Linked DNA regions of Anolis sagrei. The main gene of each other region encodes a partner of the protein of the gene in region 2 in a complex. Links are inferred from orthologs where the notes say so. Each region holds a gene or a part of one and is shown on either strand. Other genes may lie near its edges. The genes, in order: CYFIP2 and NCKAP1.

Evidence for each region.
Region 1: NCKAP1 (region 2) and CYFIP2 share a complex: the UniProt entries of both Homo sapiens proteins name them as parts of the WAVE1 complex. The link is inferred for Anolis sagrei from reciprocal best matches to the Homo sapiens genes NCKAP1 and CYFIP2.

What each region holds. Positions count from the first base shown.
Region 1 is NC_090022.1:80,527,885-80,537,051, forward strand, and holds the start of CYFIP2 (cytoplasmic FMR1-interacting protein 2), read right to left. Parts: upstream 4,199-9,167; 5' UTR 4,076-4,198; intron 1-4,075. UniProt on the Homo sapiens protein: Involved in T-cell adhesion and p53/TP53-dependent induction of apoptosis. Does not bind RNA. As component of the WAVE1 complex, required for BDNF-NTRK2 endocytic trafficking and signaling from early endosomes.
Region 2 is NC_090021.1:187,185,940-187,195,306, forward strand, and holds the start of NCKAP1 (nck-associated protein 1), read left to right. Parts: upstream 1-5,296; 5' UTR 5,297-5,647; coding exon 5,648-5,755; intron 5,756-9,367. UniProt on the Homo sapiens protein: Part of the WAVE complex that regulates lamellipodia formation. The WAVE complex regulates actin filament reorganization via its interaction with the Arp2/3 complex. Actin remodeling activity is regulated by RAC1.

The DNA.
Region 1 (9,167 bases), on a different chromosome or scaffold from region 2:
GAAAACTCCTATCACTTTAATTTTTAAGATTATGATTGGCTTAATGACTGCTTTCTTGATCACTTCTTTGGAGAAGTGACTCTTCCACTATGAGAACATCTGGGCTGGACAGATCTTGATCTAAAAATAGTTGATAGTAAGCCAGTTCTTTACATTTTACCACCTAAAGTCCTCCCTGCACACAAAGGTCTAAGTTCCCCTCTAATAAAAGAAGATGTGGAATAACACCTGCTCACTGCATGTTTTCTATTTCCTGTAGTCAACAGGGCAATTCAACAGCATTACTTGAGGTTCTTATGATATGAAATTCCACAGTCCCGGTCACCAAAACAACAGCAACAGATGGCCCTTCTGTTTCTGTATCAGCAACTTCAAATTCTGTGTTGGTTGTTTAAATTCAACCCCAACTGAGCACACACTAAAAAAAGACTTCCAGAGATATCTGGTGAGTTGTTGAAGGCTTTCATGGCTGGAATCACTGAGTTGCTGTGAGTTTTCTGGACTGTATGGCCATGTTCCAGAAGCATTCTCTCCTGACATTTTGCCCACAGCTATGGCAAGCATTCTGAGAGTTTGTGAGGTCTGTTGGAAATTAGAAGTCAGCCACTTGATGAACCAACCTGGACACACCATATTATTTGACAGCACATAAATGCTAGACCACTCTAACAACCACCATTTCAGAGAAGCCACAAGCATGTGGACAATTTCAGCAGAAAGGAGGAAACCATGAAAATGAACAAAATCAGTATTAAAAAAATTCTAAAACCAGGTCAGTAAATAAAGAGCAGCACTCATAAAACAGGGGAATTCCAGACAGGAAACAATCAAGGCCAGTTAACACTTCCCAACACAGGATTCCCCCAGGCAGGAAGCAGACAGGCTTTGAAGCTACAAGACCATTCAATGCTAATCAAGTTGGCCAATTGCAACATTCACACTTGCCTCCAACAGACAAGAGTTCTTTCTCCCACCCTGGACATTCCACAGATATATAAAACCCCACTTGCCTAGTTTCCAACTGACCCCTCAATCTCTGAGGATGCCTGGCACAGGTGTGAGCAAAACATCAGGAGAGAATGCTTCTGGAATGTAGCCATACAGCTCGTAAAACTCACAGCAACCCCTGCTATATAATATTGTTTTAATGTATTAAGAGGGATAAATGTAAAATGACATGGGAAGGAAATAACTGGAAAACCATGCTTGTTTTTTTTTTATTGCTCAGCTCCAAACAATGTTTGTGCAGAGCTGCACAAATTTGAAATCAACCTTAATTCTCAGTGGCTCTAAACCAGATCTTTCCAACCATTTCGTGTTGACTACACACTAATAGACATGCATCTTTTCATGACACAGTAATTCAGTTTCACTAGCAAACCAGAGGTTAAACAAACTTCTTATAAGAGATTCAGACACGTACATAAATTGCAGTACTGAAATGCATGGTACAAACAGCATATCTCATGAACAATTTTCATTTATATTTTTTAAAATATGATTTATTGATCATTTCCCATAGACTCAGAGGTTTCTTAAGTTCACATGACACACCTACACTCTGCAGCTGACAGACTTCACATGTCATGACACACAGTTTGGAAAGCTCTACTCTAAACCTTTCTTTCCCCGTTTCAGAAAATATTTTTACATGGCTGCTTATTTATTCAATTCTTCACTTCCACCACTTTTGTCATCTTTATTTTTCAGTTTGGAGAATGCGCACTCCAGCTGTGAATCCAAATCATTTCCCTTTGAACATTTTCCATTTACCTCCCACACCCGGATCTATTTGTGACTAGGCACCACACCTTCTGTTTTTCCAACTTCACACACGCACACACAATGGCAACATTGCCGGTCGACTGCAGAGCTCAGATGTGAACCCCAAAACCAACCCAATCTGGAGACTCAATAGCCATTGTGTTCCATAGGGTGCATCCACACTATAGAAACAATGCAGTTTGACACCACTTGGCTGAATGTTATGGAATCCTGGGAGAGGTGATTGGGTGAGGCACCACTGGCAGAGAAGGCTATTGACCTTGCAAAACTACAACTCCCGTGATTCCATAGCATTGAGCCATACCAGTTAAAGTATTGTCCAACTGTATTTATTCCACAGTGTAGATCAGGCATAGGCAAGCTTGGGCCCTCCAGGTGTTTTGGACTTCAACTCCCATAATTCCTAACAGCCTCAGGCTCTTTTCTTTTGCCCCCTCAGACGTTTAAGCAGCTGAGGGGGAAAAGGAAAGGTCCCGACTCCCGAGGCTGTTAGGAATTGTGGGAGTTGAAGTCCAAAACACCTGGAGGGTCCAAGTTGGCCCATGGCTGGTGTAAATGCACCCAATGATAACATTACTGATTCACTGTTGAGCTCAGATGTGATCCTCAAAGCCATTACTCAACTAAATCCAATTTGGATTTGACCAGGGCTGGATCTGCACTGACCTTAAATTAAAATTAAATTAAATTAAATTATTATTATTATTATTATTATATAACTCATTTCAAAGCAAATAATCTTGGATCTGAAATTGGCAGTGTGTTATATGGCAGTGTGGACGGGGCCTGGGTGTCCCTGCAGTCTGCTGGATGGTGGCTTTGCTCTCTTCCAACTTGAGGAGGGTTGTATGGAGCGCCAACAGGCACTGTGTTTCCTGGAGAAGCCCTGAGAGAGAGGGCCCTTCTACACAGCCCTATATGCCAGAATATCAAGGCAGAAAACCACACAATATTTGCTTTGAACTGGGTTATGTGAGGGCCCTTCCACACAGCCCTACATCCCAGAATATCAAGGCAGTAGATCCCACAATACAGTGTTCTCTTGCAACTTTGCGGTTCGCTTTTAGTGGACTCGCTGTTTTGTGGGTTTTTGAAAATATTAATATAAAATACAAAATATTTACATCCAGTGGAGGCCAGGAACCTTGGAAGTGTGGTGGCCTGAAGCGCGGTGGGGAAGGCCTGCCTCCCTGGCCTCCACAGATCCCGTAAGTGTGGCAGCCTGGGGTGCGGTGAGGAAGGCCTGCCTTCCTGGCCTGCTGCTGCCTGCATGGCTCTGAAGGATCTGCTGCGGTCTGCGGAGGCCAGGGAGGCAGGCCTTGGGATGGGCTGGGAGGTGGATAAGAAAATAATATATAATATATATAAAATAATGTATAAATATTAAAATTAATGTGGCATCCCTCTTTGTGGATTTTCACTTATCGTGGGTGGTCCTGGAATGGAACCCCCACGATAAGTGAGGGAACACTGTATTTGCTTTGAACTGTGAGGGCTCATCCACACAGCCCCGCATCCCAGAATATCAAGGCAGAAAATCCCACAATATTTGCTTTGAACTGGGTAATCTGAGTCTCCACTCTGATAATGTGGGATTTTCTGCCTTGATATTCTGGGATCTAGGGCTGTGTGGAAGGGACCAGAGACGCTCCCATCTTCTCCACCCTCCTCTCTCTCTCTCTCTCTCTCTCCCAGCAGGAGGGCTGCATGATCACACGCTCCTGGCTGGGTGCGCTCTCACAAATAAGGCGGCGGGGAAGAGCCCAGGTAGCTCGGAGCATTCTGGGAGATCTCTCAGAAAAGCCTTTCCTTGGTTGGGGCCCAAAGGCTGGAGGAGGAGGAGAAGGACAGCGGCACCTGCGCCTGCTCCGCCGCCTCCCCCGCTCGCTTCGGGGGGAAAATACCCGAAGCGAAGGCAGAATGAAGCACCTCTGGAAGAAGAAGAGGAGGAGGAGGAGGAGAAGCCTGTTGCCGGGAGGCTCCAATCATGGCAGCCTCGCCCTTCAGCCCAGGCTGTGACAGCCTTCCCCGAGCCCACCGGCGGCTTCCTTTTCTCATCACACGGCACCCGGGGGAAAGAGATGGAAGAGAAGAGCGGGGTGTCCCTGTTTCTCTCCGTTAGACAGAGAAGGCGCATCCGCAGCACCTGCGCTTTCGGCCCGTCGTTTCCCTAGCCTTCCCTCCCTCCATACTGAGCTTCCTAGCCTTGCTTGGCCTCCTCCTCCTCCCCCTCTTTCTGCAGCCTGCCTCTCCCTCTCTCTCCCCAACCCTCTGGGCGCCTCTTCTTTACCTGGGAGGCTGAGTCCGGCCCTCTGCGGATGGACTTCAGAAGCGCCGGGATGCGGCCGGGGAAGAGGCAGAGATGCTCCAGCGCCGCCGCAGTCTCCTCCTCCTCCTCCTCCTCAGCCGCCGCCAAAGCCCTCGCCGCCTCCTCCTCCTCCTCCTCCTCCTCCTCTCCCCGCTTCCTTTTCTTGCTGCCGCTGCCTCAGTGTATTTGTGTGGGCATATGGACGCGTGTGCGTGCCTCTCCCCTCCCTCTCTCTCTCCCTTTCGCACCGACAGAGCTAGGAAATGGCCGCAGCCTATGGGCTTGCTGGGCTCTCAATGCATCGCCCCCCCCCCCCCGCTCTCAGGAGGAGGAGGAGGAGGGGAAGGCTGGCTCTGCACACATTCACACAAACACGCATAGACACGTGTCCAGCCTGCTCCACTCTTGACCCTGGCTCCAGAGGGAGCTCCACCTGTTCGGCAGACAATAGGAGATGGGTGGTCATTCAGCTCCAGAGAAGAACCGGCTTAAACCAAAGGCAGAGACTTAGGCCCTTCCACACAGCCCTATATCCCAGAATATCAAGGCAGAAAATCCCACAAGATCTGCTTTGAATTGGGTTAATTGCGTCTACGCTCCGATAATGTGGTATTTTCAGATATCTCACTTCAAAGGAGATATTGTGGGATTTTATGCTTTGATATTCTGGGATATAGAGCTGTGTGGAAGGGTCCTGGGTTATCTGAGTCCACACTGCCATGCATTCCAATTCAAAGCAGAAAATGTGGGATTTTATTCAGCTGTGTGGAACAGCCCTCAGATAACCCAGTTCAAAGCAGATATTCTGGGTTATATATATCCTAATAACCCATGGATGAAATGTTGGTGGACCTTTGCACCTTTCACCTTTGAAACATGACCTGGCTCCCTCCTCCTGCTTCACATGGGCAGATCTTGTCCTCCTGTGGCCCTTCCAGACAGGCCCTATATATCCCAGGATCTGATCTCAGGTTTTCCCTTTATCCCAGATTATCTGGCAGTATGGACTCTTATAATGCAGTTTCAAGCAGAAATCCTGGGATCAGATCCTGGCCTGTCTGGAAGTAGTAGACCAGAGTTTTCCAAATATGTCAGCCTTTTCAGACATGGATCATTTCACAACACTGTGATTCATTTTACTAGCAAACCAGAGGTCAAATCAACCTCTCGTAAGAGGTACGGACCCTTACATCAATAGTAATAACAAAACGTACGGGAATGCAACATATCTCATGGAAGCCTTTCATTTATGTATGTTCTTTTAAAAATATATGACAGGCATCCTCAACTGTGGCCCTCCAGCTGTTTGGGCCTCCAACTCCCAGAAGCCCTAATGAGCTTGTTCAATTGTCAGGAATTCTGGGAGTTGAAGGCCCAAACAGCTGGAGGGCCACAGTTTGAGGATGCCTGATATATGACTTATTCCTTATAGACTCAGGGCCCTTCCAGACAAGCCCTATATCCCAGAATCTGATCATAGGCTTTCTGTTTATCCTAGATTATCTGGCAGTGCAGACTCATAATCCAGTTACAATCCTGTTCAAAACAGCAGTGTAGAAGGGGCCTCGGTGAACCAGCACCCATCAGGATTGGTAGGTGTATTTTTCAATTGCTTGAGAGTTGCTATTAAAAATTGGTCTCATACTATACCCAATAGTATGAGACCAATAGTATGAGACCATACCATAAACTTTGTACTGACTTGGTATTCATATTGAAATACAGTAATGAAAAGCAAACAAAGACAAATTGAATGTAAAATTTCTGCAAAAAATATTTTATTTAAATTTTGATTTAAAGTATTAATTCTTAGATATTTTGCTAGTTGATTGAGAATTCTGGTTGCTTGAGTTCCAGGTAAATAATTATTATAATTATAATCTTTATTTATAGACTTCCCTATCTCCCTGAAGGGACTCAGGATAGTTTCCAACAAGTATGGCAAACATTCAGTGCCCGAACTAAGGTAACTAAGCATCTACTACAGTATGAAAGGTTATTCTGTCAATAAATACTATAAGAGAAAATCTGAGAGTATCCATGCTCTGGTAATTGCCAGATCTGATACGACAAGTAAGTTGCATGATGTTTCCTTTAAAACCAGGTTGGAATTACAGCTTAATCAGTTGTTGTTGTTGTTGTTGTTGTTGTTGTTGTTGTTGTGTGCCTCAAAATCATTGTCAGTTTATGGCAACCCTCAGGCAAATCAATCATGGGATTTTCTTGGCAAGATTTCCTCAGAGAAGGATTTGGCTTTGCCTTCCTCTGAGGCTCAGAAAGAGTAACTTGCCCAAGGTCAGTCAGTGAGTTTCCATGATCAAGGGGGATTCGGGCACTGGTCTGCTACTAGAATCCTAGCTCAGTGCCCAAACCAATGCACCATACTGGCTCTCAACTCAGCAGGTACAGCTCTTGCATTGCTAAGATCCCGATTTGACCTGACCAACACCTTCTGATAGTTGCATTGCCTTCTGTTCTGTTTCCCAACTCACTTCAGAGAGCTGTATGGCTTCAGACACATATTTGTTCACATGCATCAAGGTCATATTTTACTCCTTTGGACACTAGAACATGAACCAACATGAACCAATGGGTTCAAATTACAAGAAAATGGATTGCATCTAAACATTTGGAAGAAACTCTTAAGAGCTATTTGATTGTGGAATGAACTGGTGTTGGGGTGGTGGATTCCGCATCTTGGGGATCTTTAAACAGAGATTGGATAGGCATCTTTTAGCAGTGCTTTTGTATATTTCTGCATGGCAGAGCATTGGACTACTAGATGCAGGCCCGTAGCCAGGAATTCGATTCGGGGGGGGGGGGGGGCTGAGTCTGAGTGAAAGAGGCTCTACCCTAGCAAACCTTTTGTATCGTTACCCCAATACCCCCATGCATATGGAATATATTGAGTATGGTGATCAGATCATGATATGAATAAACATAACAGTTTAAATAATGCACCAGTAAGGCCTTTTCGTGAACCACCATGAGAATTTCGGGAGGGTGGGGGGCTGAAGCCCCTCAAGCCCCCCCCCCCCCCCCGGCTACATGCCTGACTAGATGGACCTTGTGGTCTCTTCCAACACTGTGATTCTATATATTTTGGACATCTGGGTCCCACTCATCACTCATGTCATGTTATTACGGAAAAGACCATTTGATTGTGACTTCATGTTTTGTTTTTGGGGGGGGGGGGGTTGTATTTAATTCAAAAATGGCAGGTTGCTTGGTGGCCATGAGATCTCCTAATTTCCTTAAAGATGGAATGGAAATAGAGAGCAGAAGACATGGTGATAATGAAGTGGTTCTTCTGATATAGAACAGAATAATACACAGAAACTTTCCACCCTGGCTTCGGTCAGGCACCATTACAAGGATTTGTGTTCGTAGTTATTATACAGCCTGTTGACTTGAAGCATCTGAGGTTGTCCAGTAACAATAATAAATCAGATTACATCATATAGAGTGCTTTTGGTTCTTCTTTCTTGCTTGTGTGGCAGTCTACAGACATTGACTGCATTTTTCTGTTTATAAGATAATTTCCATCCAAGTTTGGTTACAGAGGACAATCTGTAGTTAGGATGTTATATTTTCAATATGGGCTCAGTACACGAATTTTGTCAGTACACGAAAATACCAATATTCCTATATTTGATTTCTTACTGCTTCCAGAACCAAGCCTTATGGCAATTTAAATCTCACACTACAGTACGCTGGGGAAAAAGAATTAATCTAAGAGTAACCTTGAAAAGATTTACAGGTTTTTCTTTATGTGGATGAATAATCCTATTAGCCATAATGGGTATGCATTCTATCCTCCTTACACAAAGCTAAATATATTCATAAATGTTCATTGGGTAGGAGCCTGAACATTTTGGATTATGAACTGGAATAAATGTCATGACATTTCTAAGCAGGAGAGGTCATTTACAATCTTTCAATTACTATGATCAAGATCAGTGAACTTTCAAGCATATTTCAGCAAAAAAAAATGAGAATAATTTACAAGTTTTGCTAGTTGTCTAGAGTGTTACTGTGCAAAGGGATCTTACATCAGTAAATAAAAGAAGTTACATCTTCTAAAAGATAGATTACGTCTATTTTCTCAGATACATAGAGTGGAGTGTGAGTGGTATTTCAGAATACTATTCTCACCATTGAGAGGAACAGAAGTGAAAATCTGACAAAGCAGCCTAGGTTCTCAAATTACAAGCAGTAAATGATGGCCATATATTTAACATCTAAGTAAAGACAGAAAGAAATGGTGGAGAATATTGGCTCACATCTTCTTAGTATTGCTGCTACCAGTGATGAAAGTACAATAAAAAGGGAGCTGTGCCACACAGCAAAATGAAGACAGCAATAGAAAATTGCCTTAACAAGCTTGTTTCCAGTGTATTTTGAACATAACACTATTGCATTTGACTAGAGTAAAAATTCTTGATGTCCTCTACTTTGTTGCAGAGTAATTTTTAAATTGCCCAGCTGTGTGCCTAGTGCCAATCATGTTTCTGAACTTGAAGAAGCTGTTTTCTCCATATAATTATGAGAGGCATGTGATTACTATATAATCTGTTTTCAATAGAATGTCAAGATACCTCTAAATGCTCTCTAAATCCAGTCATTACCTTGAAGCTTGTACTTATGAGAGTTATCAAAGTTTAGACCTTAATGCAGTTATAGCTGTGCTCAGTGAGTTAATATTAGCAATAATAGGTGGTCCTGGATGTGAATACATGGCTTTGCTAGCATTGCAAGACACATGCAGCAAATTCAGCATATTGTGATGCAGATGGACAAAGGAAATTTACACAAAGGAAATTTACATACAGACCTCTGCTATGGACATAGCTGTCCTGGCAGAACAAGTGTTTATTATAAAATTCTCATTTTAAGGTCACTTGGATATATAAGAATAAAAATAATTATTTTAATAAAAGACCTACAAAACATATATTAAAACATAAATGAAGTTAGTATTTACATGAAAAATTATAAAAGCTCATTACTCCTTAGTCAGTCCAATCAGTAATCTATAAATATTTTTTCTTTTATTTTATAAGCATGTTATATT
Region 2 (9,367 bases):
CCTTCCTTTCTACAAAGCACTTGGTTGAAACTCTGCACAAAAATATGGAATTGTGAGCATTTCTCAAACAACAAACCTTTACCTCAGTGATGTCAAAATGTCAACCCAGAGCTCCGTTGCCATGTGCTTCTGCATTTTTATGTGAATGCAGCTTCATAGTGGTATCTTTTTGATATTTTGAGGTGTAATAAGGGATCACATTGAATGAAATATAGCCCCGGTAACTCAAGGTTGTTTCAAAGATACAACAAAACCTTGCTTCGCAATAGTGGCTGGCTACACACTTACAAAGTGCACCACTTTGTTAAAAAATGGACTGGGGGAGCAGGATGAAGGTGGGTTTTGTGGTGGAATATAAAACAAACCACAAGTTTGTTGGATCAGCCCACACACTGCCTTACCAAGGAAAGAAAATATGCAACGCAGGTGAACAAGTAGTTTACTCTTCTTAATTCAGATCGACATATGTACAATATGATCAGTTGCATCAACTCACTAAATGTCTTTTCAGAGAGATTTAAAATGGTAATTCTTTGTCCATATGAGAGATTTTCTTTTCAGAAGCCAAGAAGCAAATCAGTTTCTCTCTCACTCTGCTTCTCTCTTCCAACTGTCTCTCTGAACACATGCATAGCCTTGAGCCTGAACAAAAGTGCAAGTTTCCAAAAGTTCTAGGCTAAGCCATCACTCCATGCATTGCCCGACCGATTGGCTTCATGCACTTTATTTTACAGTTGACACACACACACTCACTGATTCCTTGCATTTTCTAACAGGTTTCCCATCAAAACTAAAACGTATCACGTCATTGGCAAAACATGGGAAATTTTTTAAAACAGTGACGCGAATACACTGTCAAATGTAAGGTGCACCCAATTTTTAAGCCCCTTGAACAGGAAAGAGTGTCTTGAAATCAATAAAATACAGTATGTTCCTACATGAGTTTAAAAGTAATTGCTCGTCCAACAATTGCATGGATTTTCTTCTTAGCTTCCTGTTTTCATTTTGATTTCCCCACTCCCTAGACATTTTTTCTGATCTTGTACTTTCACCTGCTAGATTGCTAGACTAGTCTACCCAGTTTCATTTTCACATCTACACTTCGGAGGTGGAGAGCAATAATTCTTGGCAGTTGTTCAAAAGCTTTTTAGTATTCCTTGAGTCAGGTGCATTTTTTTACTTTTACATATAACTTGGAAAGGTATGACCTAGTTTCAATATATAAGTATGCCACTAGACTGTGGAATGACCTGCTGGAAGAGATTTGACAGCCAAATGAGCTGTCAGAATTTAAAATTCAATTAAAGACCTATCTCTTCTGGCAGGCCTACCCAGTCAATTTAAATTTACATTTCGTTAGCAAGAACTATTTTAACGTGTTTTAATCTTAAGCCAATATTTTAACATTTGTACTTCCTGTCTGGGGGAGAGTTGATTAGCTGGTCCCGATTGTTTCCTGTCTGGAATTCCCGTTTTTTGAGTGTTGTTCTTTATTTACTGTTATAGTTTTAGAGTTTTTTTTAATACTGGTAGCCAGATTTTGTTCATTTTCATGATTTCCTCCTTTCTGTTGAAATTGTCCACATGCTTGTGGATTTCAATGGCTTCTCTGTGTATTTATTTATTTATTTCATTTACTTATACCCCGCCCTTCTCACCCCGGGGGGGACTCAGGACAGCTTACAGTGGGGGCACAATTAGATGCCCAAGACAATTCACAAGCAGTACAAAATACAAACAATTCAACAATTAATTAAAAACATCAATACATAATAAAATCATAAAGCAATCTCATGCTCAGGGTTCAGAGTCCATATATCCATTCCATTCCATTTGTCCTTGCCATCATCAGATCCTTCAGTTAGCTGTCAGAATGACCAAAGGCTTGTTCCCAGATCCAGGTCTTCAGTTTTTTCCTGAACGCCAAGAGGGAAGATGACGATCTAATCTCCCCGGGGAGTGAGTTCCACAGGTGGGGGGCCACCACTGAGAAGGCCCTGCTCCTCGTCCCCGCCAACCTCACTTGTGAGAGTGGTGGAGTCGAGAGCAGGGCCTCCCCAGAGGATCTTAAGCTTCAAGGTGGGACGTAGAGGGAGATCCGTTCGGACAAATACACTGGGCCGGAACCATATAGGGTTTTGTAGGTCAAAACCAGCACTTTGAATTGTGCTCGGAATTGGATCGGCAGCCAGTGGAGCTGGCGCAACAGGGGGGTTGTATGCTCCCTGTACACCGCTGTGTAGTCTAAAATGGTGGTTGTTAGTGGTCCAACATTTCTGTGTTCTCAGATAATATGCTGTGTCCAGGTTGGTTCATCAGGTGCTCTGCTATGGCTGACTTCTCTGGTTGAAGTAGTCTGCAGTGTCTTTCATGTTCCTTGATTCGTGTCTGGGCAATGCTGCGTTTGGGGGTGCCTTTGTAGACTTGTCCACAGCTGCATGGTATACAGTATACAGGCTCCTGCAGAGGTGAGGATCCCTCTTGTCCTTTGCTGAACATAGTAGCATCTACACCTGCCTCAAGCAGAGAAGAGTTCTTTCTCCCACCCTCGAGATTCCACAAATGTCAGTCAGTGCCAGAATCAATCAGGGCCAGCTTATTTATTTATCGTATCAGAAGCCCGACTGCTCATTGGAGGGAAGGATAGCAGAGGCAAAGATTAAGTACTTTGGCCACATCATGAGAAGGAAGGAAAGCTTAGAGAAGACAATTATGCTGGGGAAAAGGGAAGAGGAGCTGACCAAGGACAAGATGGATGGATGGCACCCTTGAAGTGACTGGGTTGATCTTGAAGGAGCTGGGGGTGGTGACGGCTGACAGGGAGCTCTGGCGTGGACTGGTCCATGAGGTCACAAAGAATTGGAAACGACTGAACGAATGAACAACAACAATCAGAAGTGAACCGAGGGTACAGTTGCAATGTATTTAAAAAACAAAGTTTTAAAAAAACTTAGCATTATTCTAAATATCAGTTGACCAGTAGCTGGCCACTTGGAGTGCCTCTGGTGTTGCTATAAGAAGGTCCTCCATTGTGTATGTGGCAGGGGCTCAGGTTGCATTGTAGTAGGTGGTCTGTGATTTGTTCTTTTCCACACTCACATGTCGTGGACTCCACTTTGTGACTCCACTTCTTAAGATTGGCTCTGCATCTCGTGATGCCAGAGCACAGTCTGCCCAGGAGGAAGTCTCTTATTCGGTATGACTTGAGGTTCTGGGTTTTAACCTGCCACTTTTGGGCTCTTGCTTGCTAAGGTGTTCCTGTGACTCCAATATCTCTGTATATTTTATTTATTTATTTATTTATTTCATATACTTCTCACCCCCGAGGGGGGACTCAGGGCAGCCTCACAGCAAACACAATTCGGTGCCATCATAATGATAAGAACAATCAACAAATTCATTAAAACAAAACATTAAATAAATATCTTCGAAAACTATTTCTTGATTTGGTGTGCTGGCTGATATCTGAACAGGGGATGGGCATTTGTAGGCAAGCTAACACCTCTCAACAAAAGATCCCCCCAGGAAGCAACCAGCCAGGCTTTGAAGCTGCAAGCCCCGGCCCAAATTACCTGTCCGAACGCATCTCCTCCTATGAACCATCACAGAGATTAAGATCCTCAGGGGAGGCCCTGCTTTCCGCCCCGCCATTGTCACAGGCACAATTGGTGGGGACGAGAGACAGGGCCTTCTCGGTGATTGCTCCCCAGCTATGGAACTACCTTCCTGGTGAGATCAGGTCAGCCCTCCTCCTTCCTGTCCTTTAGAAGGATGGTAAAAACTTGGCTGTGGGACCAAGCTTTCGGGACAGGGCAATAAAGCGGCAATAGAAAAGATGACCAATTAGATTTTACACAGATGACTAGGATAGTTTTAAATGGGGTATTTTAACATTTTGATAAATGTTTTTTTTAATGTTTATATATTGTATGTGAATTTGTGTCCCGGCATTGAATGTTTGCCGTATATATGCTGTGCTCCGCCCTGAGTCCCCTTCGGGGTGAGAAGGGCGGAATATAAATGTTTTAAATCTATATAAATAAAAATGTAATGTTCATTTGTCAGCCCATTGTATGCTAATCAAGGTGGTCAGTTGAAAGATTCACACCTAGCCCAAGTTACAAAAGCCTTTTGTCTCACCCTGGTCATTCCACAGATATATAAACCCCTTTTTTCCCCAGTTCCAGCAGACCTCACCTCTGAGGATGCTTGCCATGGATGCAGGCGAAACGTCAGGAGAAATGCCTCTAGAACATGGCCATATAGCCCGAAAAAACCCACAAGAACTGAATGTAATGTTCGTTTGTGATATTAACTCAAAAACCACTGGGGGAATTGACGACAAATTTGGACACAAGGAACCTATCAGGCCAACATATGTCCTTCACCACAAAAAATTGATTTTGTCATTTGGGTGTTGTAGTTGCTGGGATTTATAGTTCACCTACAATCAAAGAGCATTCTGAACCCCACCAATGATGGAATTGAACCAAACTTGGCACACAGTTCTCCCATGACCAACTGAAAATACTGGAAGGGTTTGGTGGGCAATGTCCTTTGGTTTTGAAGTTGTAGTTCACCTACATCAAGAGATCACTGTGCAGTCAAACAATGATAAATCTGGACCAAACTCTACACGAATACTCAATATATCCAAATGTGAACACTGGTAGAGTTTGGGGAAAATAGAATCCTGACATTTGGGAGTTGTAGTTGCTGGGATTTATAGTTCACCTACAATCACAGAGCATTCTGAACCCCACCAATGATAGAATTGGGCCAAACCTCCCACACAGAACCCCCATGTGGGCCACAGCAACGCGTGGCAGGGGATGGCTAGTAAAATAAATAAATAAATGTTAATCAGTGTGGCCAACTGCAACATTCACACTTGCCTCCAACAGACAAGAGTTCTTTCTCCCACCCCGGACCTTCCACGGATATTTAAACCTCCCTTGCTTAGTTTTCAATAGACCTCACAACCTCTGAGGATGCCTGTCATAGATGTGGGCGAAACGCCAGGAGAGAATGCTTCTGGAACATGGCCAGACAGCCCGGAAAACTCACAGCGACCCAGTGATTCCGGCTATAAAAGCCTTCATAATTCGATCCTCAGAATACGAGTAGGAGTTCCACCGCTCTGTCAACCCTGCTACGGGATCCTGGAAGTTGTAGTTTCGGTGGCCCCAGGGCTGTTGGGCGGAGAAGGCGGAGGGAGGCCTGGAGGGACCACAACTCCCAGCAGCCACCGCGCGCGTGCTTTCCTTGGCGCTGTCCCGCCGGAGGGGGCAGCAGAGGGCGGCGTCACGTGGGGCGGAGGAGCCCGGCCTCTCCGTGGGAAGAAGCAGCAGCAGCAGGAACAGAGGCCGGGCTGGAGCCTCTGCTTCTGCCGCCGCCGCCGCCACGCCTAAGGAAGGCAGCCGAGCCTGAGGGAGAGGGGAAGAGAGGAGCAGAGGCGGCGGCGGCCCGGCCATGGCGGCTGCGTGAGGGAAGGCCAGAGGAGGAGGCGGCTGGCTGGCTGGCTGAGTGACTGACTGACGGAGGAGGAGCCGCCGCCTATCGCCCCCGTCCTCCTCCTCCTCCTCTGCTTTCTCTCTCTGTCTCTTCCCTTCTTTCCTCCTCTCTCTGTCTCTCTCTGTCTCCCAGGATGTCGCGCTCGGTGCTGCAGCCCAGTCAGCAGAAGCTGGCCGAGAAGCTCACCATCCTCAACGACCGCGGCGTCGGCATGCTCACGCGCCTCTACAACATCAAGAAGGTGCGCGCGCGTGTGCTGCGTCGTGCGGGGGGGGGGGGGGGGAGGGGAGAGAGAGAAAGGACTCCCTTATCTATCTCAATATATATGTCTGTGTGGAGAAACGGCACTCTATTAATGTGTTATTCTTCCCCCCCTCCCTTCCGCTTCCTCGCGCCGCCATTAGCGTAACCTGCTCGGCTCTCCTTTGGCTCGCGCCCACTCTTCCGCCCTCCCCTCTCTCTCCCGGCGCGCGGGCCTCGACAGCGTTCGTTTCCCAAGCATTTTATATAGACGTATATTATATACACACACACACGGATAGATACGGGGAAGGGGGCTCGCGCGGAGGGGCGGGGCTTAGCTCTGGAATCTTGAGGAGGGGAGGTGTTCTCTCTCTTTCTCTCCTCCCCCCCTCCTTTTCCTCCATTAGTCAGCGAGGCTGTGTTTGGCTCTGAGGCGGAGGCCCTGTGTTTCTTCAGCCCTCTTCCACACAGCTGACTAAAACCCCACATTCTCTGCTTTGAACTGGGATATGTGGCAGCGTGGACTCAGATATCCTGCCTTAATGTTCTGGGTTATATGGCTGTGTGGAAGGGCCTCGAGAGAAGCTGTTTGAGGGCCCTTCCTTCCACACAGCCCTATATGCCAGAATATCAAGGCAGAAAATCCCACATTATCTGACAGTGGAGTCAGATAACTCAGTTCAAAGCAGATATTGTGGGATTTTCTGCCTTGATATTCTGGGTCATGGGCTGCATGGAAAGGCCCTTAGTTATATGACAGTGTGGACGCTTGACAACCCAGGACCCTTCCACACAGCCCTGTATCCCAGAATATCAAGGCAGAAAATCCCACATTATCTGAATGTGGATTCAGATAACCCAGTTCAAAGCAGATATTGTGGGATTTTCTGCCTTGATAATCTGGCACATAGGGCTGTGTGGAAGGGTCCTTAGTTATATGACAGTGTGGACTCTTGACAACCCAGGGCCCTTCCACACAGTCATATAACCCAGATTATCTGCTTTGAACTGGGATATCTGAGTCCACACTGCCACATATTCCCATTCAAGCCAGAAAATGTGGGGTTTTATTCAGCTGTGTGGAAGGGACCCCACTTCCAAGCAGATATTGTGGGATTTTCTGCCTTGATATTCTGGGATATAGGGCTGTGTGGAAGGACTCTGAGTCCACACTACCATTTATTCCAGCTCAAAGCAGAAAAATGTGGGATTTTATTAAGCTGTGTGGGGTCCTTCCACACAGCCTTATATGCCAGAATTTCAAGGCAGAAAATCCCTCAATATCTGATTTGAACTGGATTATCTGAGTCCACACTCAGATAATGTGGGATTTTCTGCCTTGAAATTCTGGGATATAGGACTGTGTGGAAGGGCCCAGGAAGGGGCCTCAGATAATCCTGTTCAAAGCAGATATTGTGGATGGTTTGCCTAGATATTCTGGGTTATATGGCTGTATGGAAGGGCCCTCAGTTGTTTCTATCAATCTCCCTTTGTGGGGATTTGCATACACAAGGCCTGGGCCGGATGTACCGTTTAGTTCTCACCATCTGGTTGTTCCTCTGGAAAAAGGAAGCAGCCAGGATGTGTTGTGGTAAGGGAGAACCATTTCCTCTTTTTCCCAATTCTGAAAATCCAAGACTCCAGATTTGTTTTTTGTTTTTTAAAAGAAATGGATTCAGCAGGGATGGCTGCCTCCATATCTAACATGTAATTAAAAATGTCTTCTCTTGTATGCGGAAATAAGGAAGATCCCCTACAGCGTATAGGAAGCCTACACTTTTTCTCATTCCCACCTCACCTTGTGAGTCATGCAGCTGACTTGAGGGAGAAAATGACATGCTCTTGCTATAGTTCTCTGAATAGACACGCATCCTTTTTTTTCCAGTTTGAAGGGGAAAAAGCTTCCAGGGAATGTTTTCAGATGGTTCGCTATGTGAACATTTGTTCCAAGGATTAGGTAGCAGCTGTTCTTCTACCCAAGGGAAGGAGATATTTTCATGAAGAAAAGAGAAAGATTTGTGATCAGTTAAAATTCTAAACCGATGCGTTACAATAATCAGCGTGCCACTAGAAATACTTCCTTCCCAATGTAATATATCTGTGACATTTCTGTTGAGACTTAATTGATCTGGAAAACCAAAACCAACAGCGTATGAGATCGTTTCTTTTCATAATTTCACCCAGTGTATTGTACTGTATGAACACATATATTAAAGGTTGTTTTTGTGGTTTGGGTGCAGTTCAAAAACTAGTGGACATTTATGTAGCCGAGTCTATCAAACTTGTATTCAAGTAATTAGCATTTTTATCTGAATGTATTCATTTTAAAAACATTGTCCCATGAATGGATATTTTCTTACCACAGCAGAGTTTCCTTGATGTTGTTTTCAATTTCTGCATAAGTTTCAAGAGCAAGTTTTGATTTTTGTGCCTGTGACTTTTCATTGCTGCTGTACTTCCAAGCAGTGCTGGATTAGGTGGATTAATGAGTGATACAGGGCACAATCATGTTCATATTTACATATACAGGCAGTCCCCGAGATACAAACATCCGACTTAAAACAACTCAGTTGACAAGGGGGGAGAGACAACAGGAAGTGAGATAATCTACCTGTTGGAAGAGAAATTCACTCCTGGAAGAGTTATCATGGAGAACAGGGGTCTTCATTGAAGCTTTCTCACCAATCCTTGTTTCCCCAACAAGCCAAAGTTTTCAAAATCCAATTATCACAGGGACAGAAAGTGAGGTCAAATCTTCTGAACAAGCAGCAAAACAAACACCACAAGAGTGTTAACCCTTCCCTGAGCTATCCAAAAATAAATATTTCTGGCTGGTGTTACACTTGTACCTGTTCCAAATTACAAACAAATTCAACTTAACAAACTTACAGAATCTTATATTGTTCATAACTTGAGAACTAGAACAGGGGTTCATTTGGCCTTTTTTCCTCAGGAAAATAGGCACACATTCTGAAGCATAAAAAAAATTAAAGATTCCTCTATATAAATTAATTTGCCACTATTAAGAGATCCTGAACAGACACTCTTAATTTGTAATGGGAAAATAGTTCATGTGCTTTCAGTAAAAGGAAAAGATAAAGATTTTTCCAGTCAAAAGTGTGTTGCATAAATTTGACTTTTACAAAGAGTTAAAACTGCTCTAATGAAAATATGTCTGGTACTAAAGCTTCATTAGTACATTATGCAGTGTGTACTCATGTACCTGCAGTTTAACATATAACAAAATATGTTCCCTCTAGGAATTTTCTTGGCCCTCCAGGCGATTCTGTGGTATGCTTCCACCAGAAGTTAACAGAAGAGTTGTAATGAAATATCTAGTAAATTCCGTGAGAGTATACCTCCCTAGTTCTATGTCTTCCATAGTGAGTCTATGATAACAGAAGGTACTCATTTTGGTAGGGTTTGCTATTATTCACAGCTTCTGGTTCTATAGTAAGTTCAGGAACATATCACCTGCAGTAACTGCTGGTATATACGGTAATTTTCTAACCCACCTGTGGCAAGTAAGAGCTGTTTCTGGGAGATCAAATGTACAAACTTGAGAAAAGCTTCTTTTTTTTAAAAAAAAAAAAACCAGCATGTTACAAAT